Linked DNA regions of Arabidopsis thaliana. The protein of the gene in region 1 interacts with the protein of each later gene in a pairwise test. Each region holds a gene or a part of one and is shown in the gene's direction. Other genes may lie near its edges.

Region 1 (4,602 bases):
CATTGCTTAAAACCCTCCAGCTGATTCAGCAGGTTATTCTAATGAACAAGGTTTATTTTTTCCTTTATTAAAATTTAAAAACCAATTAATAAAATTTAAAATATATATATATAACGACGCGATTTTTAGACTTTCTTGGGAGCAAACTTAGATTTGATTTTTTCGATTTCTTTCGTTCCGATTTGAAACGTCGTCGTTAAAACGTGATCCGGAATCGCCGGAGTGGCTGTGAATAGCGTGGCGGCGATCGATTGTGTTCCCGGTAATTGACTGTTGAACGCAGAGATCACCGACGCCGGTTTCGCTTTGTCGTTGTTTTTCTGGTAATGAATCAATCCTCTAGGGAAGACGAACACTTCTCCTTTCTTCACCGTCTTAGCGAAGAGCTTGTTCGCCGTCGTTATGAATCCAACGTCAAGCTCGCCTTCCAAAACGAAGATCACTTCGGTGGCGCGTGGATGCGTGTGCGGCGGGTTTAAACCTCCGGGAGCGTAGTCGATACGCGCGAGTGAGACTCCGAGCGTGTTAAGCCCTGCGATCTTCTCTACGTTTGCTCCCGTGACGGCTGACCCGACTGTGTTGTTAACGACGGCGGGTTTTCCGATTCCGGCGAAGAAAAAATCTGAAGCGGTGATGTTTGATTCGGGTTTACATGTGAAACCATTCACTTTTATCCCTACATAATCCAAAAACGACGACATTTCATTACTTTAACAAATCATTCAAAGTAGACAGTAAATTTAATTTGAAGATATATGTGTACCTGAAGTGCGATCCGCAACGCAGAGATCTTGAAGTGTGTCAGGATCGTAAGCAAGAACAATCACATTTAGAGATAACAAAGTAAAGAAGAAGCCAAAACATCTCGAGTCCATGGTTTTGACTTTTGATGATGTACTGTAGAAGAACAAGTAACTAGATTTGAAGCTCTAATTTGAAACTGTGTGATATGTTTTTGTTTCGATTTGGATCGTTATAAATATTTGAATCTGTTTGAGGAGAAATTATGCATAGCTTAACTAACTTAAACGCAAAGCAAAGCTTGGGAGTTGGAGGAAAGATGTGATGTCGTTTTCTTACACATGTACATATTTAATCTAACTTTTAAGTTTTGGTTTTCGTTAGCTAGAATTCTTGGTTTAACCGAAATATATTCCAGATCAGAGATCTATAGATCAATAATAAAAAGTTTCAGTTTCAAATTCTTGGTAAGGAGTTGGAAAGTTAATTAAAAACTTGAGTGACAAGCATTTTCTTATCATGATGGGCTGGGCCTGGTAGATAAACAAATAGGCCCACTTGTGGTAATCATCGATAGGGTAAATTAAATCGAGGTGTTAGGTTAAAGCAGATCCGTGCCTTGTTTGGGCCATGGTGCGGCCCAAGTGATGTTTTTCCTGGATTGACAAAGAAAGTTACTCAATTACCCTACAGTTACATGGTTGTGAATGTGCCTTGGCAAGGGGTAGAGTCGAAATTAGCACACGACAACCAGTGAAAGCAAACCAGTAAATTTCACTCATCCACAACCACAGATAAATCTAACTAAAACCCTCTCAGCTACCAAACAATCTCTTAGCGGATGAGAAATATCAAAGTACTCTTGGCACTCAAGGAACCCACCCCCATCAGCAATACAATTTCCTTATGTAAGCTTTGAATGGCTTTGGCGAAAACTCTTAGCTGATGTTCCGTTTACTTCTTCTCCCTTACGCAGTCGGTGCTCAACAGAAGCTGTTACAAACTCCAAGAGAGACGAAAGTTGCTGATGCATGGTACAGCAAATTATGTGTGTTTAAATAATGTCCAAAGACTGTAGTAGCTTTGTGTATGAAAACATGAACAATTTTGTTGGTTCTTGGAGTTTGTGGTTTTGATCTATTGAGTGTGAAATAATAGACAAAACTAATCTTGCTGGTCTTATGATGTTGTTCATAAAAACATGATTTTGTTCTAGGAATATTAAATGCCAAAATCTGTAAGCAGTTAAATTTTCAGAGAATGATATCAAAATTTTGGAAAATTAAAAATTGTGTGCTTTAGAAAGAAAAAAAAAGGCTTTCTACAGCAAATAATAAAAAAAGGCTTTCTACGGCAATTGTACTTGATAGTCATCCGCAACCACAGGTTTAACCCTAACCCAATTTTTTGTTGTAACTTAAGAGAGAAAGCATTTGGATAAATGACTTGGGCTGGGCCTAAAAGAAATTAAAAATAGGCCTCTAGCTGTCATTATCATTAGGCGTAAGTTAGCATGAGATGCTAAGGATACCACCAATCCATAGAGTTGCTAACTTAAAAAACAAGGCTCGAGGCGGTTCTCTTATCTGCAAAACTAAAGACTGTTGTCTAAAGCGAACCAACAAAAAGTCTTCATCTTTAATCATTCAATGGCTTCTTCGTCTTCTATGCAGATGGTTCACACTTCCCGCTCCATTGCCCAGGTTCTAAACTTAATCCTACATTTGCGGTTTTTTCAATTTTCGTCGAAGATTTATGCTTTGAATTCTATCCTTTTTTCTTCTTCACTTTAAGTAGTGTGTCTCTGTGAGTTAAAACGAAATTTCAATCGGATACTATTCCTGTTCTTGTGGGTTTTTTTTGGTCTTAAATCTCTTTTGTTTGGTTTTCTGTGTAGATTGGGTTCGGTGTTAAGTCGCAATTAGTTTCTGCAAATCGAACAACTCAATCAGTTTGCTTTGGAGCTCGTTCCTCTGGAATTGCATTATCTTCGAGATTGCACTATGCATCACCCATTAAGCAATTTTCTGGGGTTTATGCGACCACCAAGCATCAGAGAACCGCTTGTGTTAAATCCATGGCTGCTGTAAGTTACTTTTTTCATAAATCATTCATGTTCTGTTGCCTTATGGATTCGTGTTGATTTTTGAACTTGGTTTGTAGGAGGAAGAAGAAGTAATCGAACCTCAAGCTAAAGTGACAAACAAGGTTTACTTTGATGTGGAAATTGGAGGTGAAGTTGCTGGCAGAATTGTGATGGGTCTCTTTGGAGAAGTTGTGCCTAAAACCGTTGAAAACTTCCGTGCCTTGTGTACTGGTAAGCTCCTTATCAAAATGATGTTTAAAGTTTGGAACTTTATAGACACAATCAAAACCATTGTCTAAAGGAAATTGATTTCTTCAGGTGAGAAGAAATACGGGTACAAGGGTTCCTCTTTCCATCGTATTATTAAGGATTTCATGATCCAAGGAGGTGATTTCACCGAGGGAAATGTAAGTTCTTTCCAACAAGTTACATTTCAGACTGTTTGTTTGTTATTTTGATATTTCTTTCTAAATCGTCTTTTTCGATATGGTCTCACAGGGTACTGGAGGTATTAGTATTTACGGTGCCAAGTTCGAAGATGAAAACTTCACCCGTAAGTACTCACAAACAAAGAAAAACTCTGGTTTTCTGCAAATATGGCATTACTTCTTTGAGGTATTAATGGTTTTGTTTTCCGCATTTGCAGTGAAGCATACTGGACCTGGAATCTTGAGCATGGCAAACGCTGGTCCTAATACTAATGGAAGCCAGTTTTTCATTTGTACCGTCAAGGTAAAGATTCTCAATTCTTCACATCATCTATAGAGTTATCGATCTTTCATATGTTTGCCTTCCCATTTTGATTAATATTTATTTCACAAATTTGTTTTTTTGTGCAGACTTCATGGTTAGATAACAAGCATGTCGTGTTTGGACAAGTAATTGAAGGTATGAAGCTTGTTAGGACTCTTGAGTCTCAAGAGACTCGCGCTTTCGATGTTCCCAAGAAAGGTTGTAGAATCTATGCCTGCGGAGAGCTCCCGTTAGATGCTTGATAATCACTATTGACCGATGCATTGTCTTTGCCATCTTTGTTCTGTTTTTTGCTATTATGACTATTGAGGAATCCAAACCATCAAAAAGCCAAAGATTTTCAAATTCTGGTCTTTTATTTATTATATATTTCGGATACATGAGTTATAAGTTCTTTTAATCGATGTGGGATTCTTATTAGAATGTCTCTCTAAGCATTGACCATGGTTGCAACCGCGGCTTGCTGAACAATTGGCTCGAGCTTCTCATCTTTGTTGTCTTCCCATAAATCAGGTATTGCTTCCTTTATGTTATGAATGCTGCTTAGTGCATAGTCAGCACCTGGAACTAGCACTGATTCCCCCACAAACACGGTTTTTAGCCCTGTTGCTTTAGCACTAGCGATGTTACGAATACTGTCATCGAAGAATATCTGAAAAGAAAAAGATATAGACTTTTAAGTTTGGTATCTGAAACTGTGAAAGATCATAGTGACTTTTCTATTACCGTTTTGCGTGGATCAACAATGTCTGCAATGCGAATTGCAGCTTCAAATGCTTCAACAGAGGGTTTACAGAGGATTTGAGTGTTTGAATCAGAAGAAGGGTTTAGTGTTTCGAAGCAAATGATTCCTTCAAAGCAGTCCTCAAGACCCAATCTGTTGAGAGCTCGTGTTGCGTGAGCTTTGTCTGCGTTAGTAAAGATCTGTTCGAAGGGAAAATGAAAAAACAGAGGATGAGAAAAAAAGATTCAGTGGAGAATTCGAGTACAAAGCTTGAAGAAGGAAGAAACTTACGATTTTA
Region 2 (3,404 bases), 3.7 Mb from region 1:
TGTTAACTATATTGGAATCCGACCTCTATGCCCCTAATTAAACCCATATGTATATATATACACACAATACCACAGCCCGTAAACGCTTAACGTGAGAATGGTGGTGGTTGAGGAACAAAAGATTGAATAGGATCATGAAGTGTTTGGCCCTCCTCGCACTCCACTCTTGCCGCTTCACACATCATATTACTTGTTGCTAAGTTGCATCCATCTGTGTGATTACACGAGATCCAAAATTGTGTCAAGATTAGGTCTAGGTCACTTTTGTATAAAAATGATGGTGATGAATGGTTTACTATTAGTTTACGTTTTCATTATTCGAAAATGTGATTTTTACTAAGACGATAACCAAATAAATGAAACTAGTTCTTTAGCGTTTCGTATTGTTCAATAAAATTTCAGTAGCTCAAATTTCATTAGCTATTTACTAGTTCTTCCTCTTAATGCTAAATTTTTCATCAACGTATCAGATTGTTGACAACCAATTTCAACTAGTAAACCAAATAGTAGGAGAAATCACCTTCTTTGAACACAAAACCAGAACCGTTGCATTGTTTCTGAAACGAGAAACTACAAAGTTCAACTTCAATTTTCCCCTGCATCTCTACCAGAAGAGCCCGGAGTCTGATCAATTCAGTTTCCACCATTTCTTGGCTCTGAAGTTTTCTAAGGAATTGCTCATTCAGAGATTGCAATCTCATCACTTCATCTTCAAGGTATGCAGTGCGAGCCTTCTTCTTCTCCCTGTACTTCCTCACTGCCTCTCTATTACCACATAACCGTTTCTTGTTGCTACTGTCAGAATGATCATTCTCTTGCTGATCCTGCTGCAACATAAAAATATGTATCTATAACAATCCATTAAAATATCATCAGAAACATACCATATCTTAAGGGAAGAGATATTATTACAGAGATGATGAGATGAGTGTGAGCGTGGAAGCATGTGTGGGAGTGAGAAGCATCCTCTGGGCCTGGAGGGTTACAGCTATGAGTGTGACTACATCCTCTCGTTACTCGATCTTGATCTTTATCTTCTTCCTCATTCATCTTTATATATCTTTGATTCTGAGGTCCAAACTCAAGATCTCCAAAGAAAACACCTGTTCTGTTTGGGACATAGAATTATGGTGATATTATTAGGGTTTTTGATTAAAGTAAAGATGGTGTTGAAGAATATGTTCTTGATTAACATAGTGGATGAATAAAACAGTAGTCAACTCTTTATAATTTTTTGACATGGCCCAAGAAAGAAAAATCTTACAGAGAATCAAAGTTAGAAACTCGTTGGTTTCCTCTGCAATCCTTGCAACAACAAAACATCCAAGTACAAAGATTGATAGGCTTTTTGGTTTTGAGATTACCTTAAAATGTTTTTTTTTTTGTCTGTACCAAACTTTGAAATGGTTTTATTACTAGAAATTACGACGGAACAATAAGCAAAGCCATTTACCATATCCCCAGACCCCAATGAATAATATATTATAAGAAAGAGAATTGGTTCTTTAATGTCAATTGTCAAATTGTTTCGTATAGAAAAAGAAGAAGACTTTTCTCATGGATTTTAACTTATTGCACGTCTCTATCATTATTTAGTGTTCGCTGGCGGACACGTTTTGTAAACGTGTTTATCATCATCATCTTGCTTCCCGACGAGATTTGAGTTCAAGAAGCAAAAATGGCGAGTTTCATCAAGGCATGGGGTTTAGTGATCATCTCACTGTGTTACACTTTTTTCATTGCCAAATTGGTTCCAAAAGGAATCAAAAGGCTCATACTATTTTTCCCTGTCTTCCTCATTTTCTTCATAGTACCTTTCTTGATATATTCCTTACATTTACTCGGCATCACGGCTTTCTTCATCGCTTGGCTAGCAAATTTCAAGCTCTTATTATTTGCATTAGGGCGCGGTCCTCTCTCTTCAAACCATAAACCCCTATCTCTCCCTATTTTCTTAGCTGTCTCTTGCTTGCCCATCAAGATTCAGCTGAGCCCAAAACCTACAAAAACTCACTCCCATGAAGGATCCACAGAGGGTCCTTTGATTTATACCATAAAGGCAGTTTTTGTGGTTCTCATCATCAAAGCCTACGAATACAGTACCAAATTGCCTGAGAAAGTCGTGCTGACTCTCTACGCGATCCACATATATTTCGCCCTTGAGATCATCCTTGCCGCCACAGCTGCTGCGGTTCGAGCCATGTCGGATCTTGAGCTCGAGCCACAGTTCAACAAGCCGTACCTAGCGACATCACTTCAAGATTTCTGGGGGAGACGATGGAACCTGATGGTCACTGGAATCTTACGGCCAACCGTGTACGAACCGTCACTTCAACTGTTCTCGGTTTTGGGCCCGAACTATTCCCAGATTCTTGCAGCTTTCGGGACGTTTGTTGTCTCTGGGATAATGCACGAGCTCATCTTCTTCTACATGGGACGGTTGAGGCCAGACTGGAAGATGATGTGGTTCTTCCTCATAAATGGATTTTGCACGACCGTGGAGATCGCCATCAAGAAAACCATTAACGGTAGGTGGAGATTCCCGAAAGCAATCAGTCAGGTTTTGACACTCACTTTTGTGATGGTGACGGCATTGTGGCTGTTCTTGCCCGAATTTAATCGGTGCAACATAGTTGAGAAGGCTCTTGATGAGTACGCAGCCATAGGCGCATTTGCAGTCGAGGTCAGGAGGAAACTGACCGCATATCTTTTTTAACCCTGCCGTGTGACAAAGCTTGAGTGATCTCTATTTTAACTTATTTTTTTCTAACACTGTAAAACCGACATTTCTGCAACCCCATCATTTACATGGCACACGAATCAAGAAAATTGTGGAAGTTCATAATACTATACATAAAACCTTGCAAACATGATATGAAAGTAAAGATGAGGGGAAGAAACCCGCTCGAGTAGAGGCAATAACATGCAAAATGGATCAGCAAGATCCGCCTAAGTTACACATCTTAAGTCTATCTAAGGCAGTTAGAATTTGTCTACAACTCCTACAGCTAAAGCTTTTCCCACCAGAAATTAACGCACAGGGAGTTGCTTTCTTACTGATCATGGTGTTCATAAAAGTCCAAGCTTTTGGCGGAAGATCAGTTCCACTTCACCACGAATGCTCTCCACATCTGCAGCATAGTCTCTCTTGTATTCATCCGCCATTGATTCCTCCAGCTGTAGCTTCATTCTCTCTAATGCTTCTTCCAACCCGCAGGACTCTTTGAGAACCTGAGGCTCTATGGATTTAAGTTGAAGAAGAGTTTGGATTGCTGTAAGAGCCTGAAACATATTTTCCGAGTAGCATAAGTTAGAAAGAGATGTGTGCCAAGATTCATAGAGGAAGAAAAACGGTCATAGGCCCCTGTAATAGTTCTACCTTTTCTTGGAGATCAAGATCAAGC

Evidence for each region. Proteins that work in one complex are often made in the same cells at the same time.
Region 2: the proteins of ROC4 (region 1) and ASAT1 interact in binary tests that used the Arabidopsis thaliana proteins (3 or more experiments, as listed by UniProt).

Annotation. Positions count from the first base shown.
Region 1 is NC_003074.8:22,971,318-22,975,919, forward strand, and holds ROC4 (rotamase CYP 4), read left to right. Parts: upstream 1-1,686; coding exon 1,687-1,775; intron 1,776-1,957; coding exon 1,958-1,978; intron 1,979-2,246; exon of another isoform or gene 2,247-2,341; coding exon 2,342-2,444; intron 2,445-2,638; coding exon 2,639-2,827; intron 2,828-2,904; coding exon 2,905-3,058; intron 3,059-3,145; coding exon 3,146-3,234; intron 3,235-3,325; coding exon 3,326-3,380; intron 3,381-3,473; coding exon 3,474-3,559; intron 3,560-3,666; coding exon 3,667-3,822; 3' UTR 3,823-4,010; downstream 4,011-4,602. Other genes in the region: GLP10 (germin-like protein 10), read right to left, coding at 126-676, 764-875; AT3G62040 (Haloacid dehalogenase-like hydrolase (HAD) superfamily protein), read right to left, coding at 4,011-4,232, 4,307-4,504, 4,596-4,602. UniProt on the Arabidopsis thaliana protein: PPIases accelerate the folding of proteins. It catalyzes the cis-trans isomerization of proline imidic peptide bonds in oligopeptides. Required for the light-induced increase of thiol accumulation.
Region 2 is NC_003074.8:19,282,742-19,286,145, forward strand, and holds ASAT1 (acyl-CoA sterol acyl transferase 1), read left to right. Parts: upstream 1-1,597; 5' UTR 1,598-1,678; coding exon 1,679-2,716; 3' UTR 2,717-2,841; downstream 2,842-3,404. Other genes in the region: BZIP24 (basic leucine zipper 24), read right to left, coding at 87-211, 521-827, 913-1,108, 1,265-1,323; AT3G51980 (ARM repeat superfamily protein), read right to left, coding at 3,070-3,282, 3,380-3,404. UniProt on the Arabidopsis thaliana protein: Involved in the esterification of cycloartenol. Not implicated in the formation of sterol esters in flowers or during seed maturation. Has a substrate preference toward saturated fatty acyl donors (16:0 > 18:0 > 16:1 > 18:1).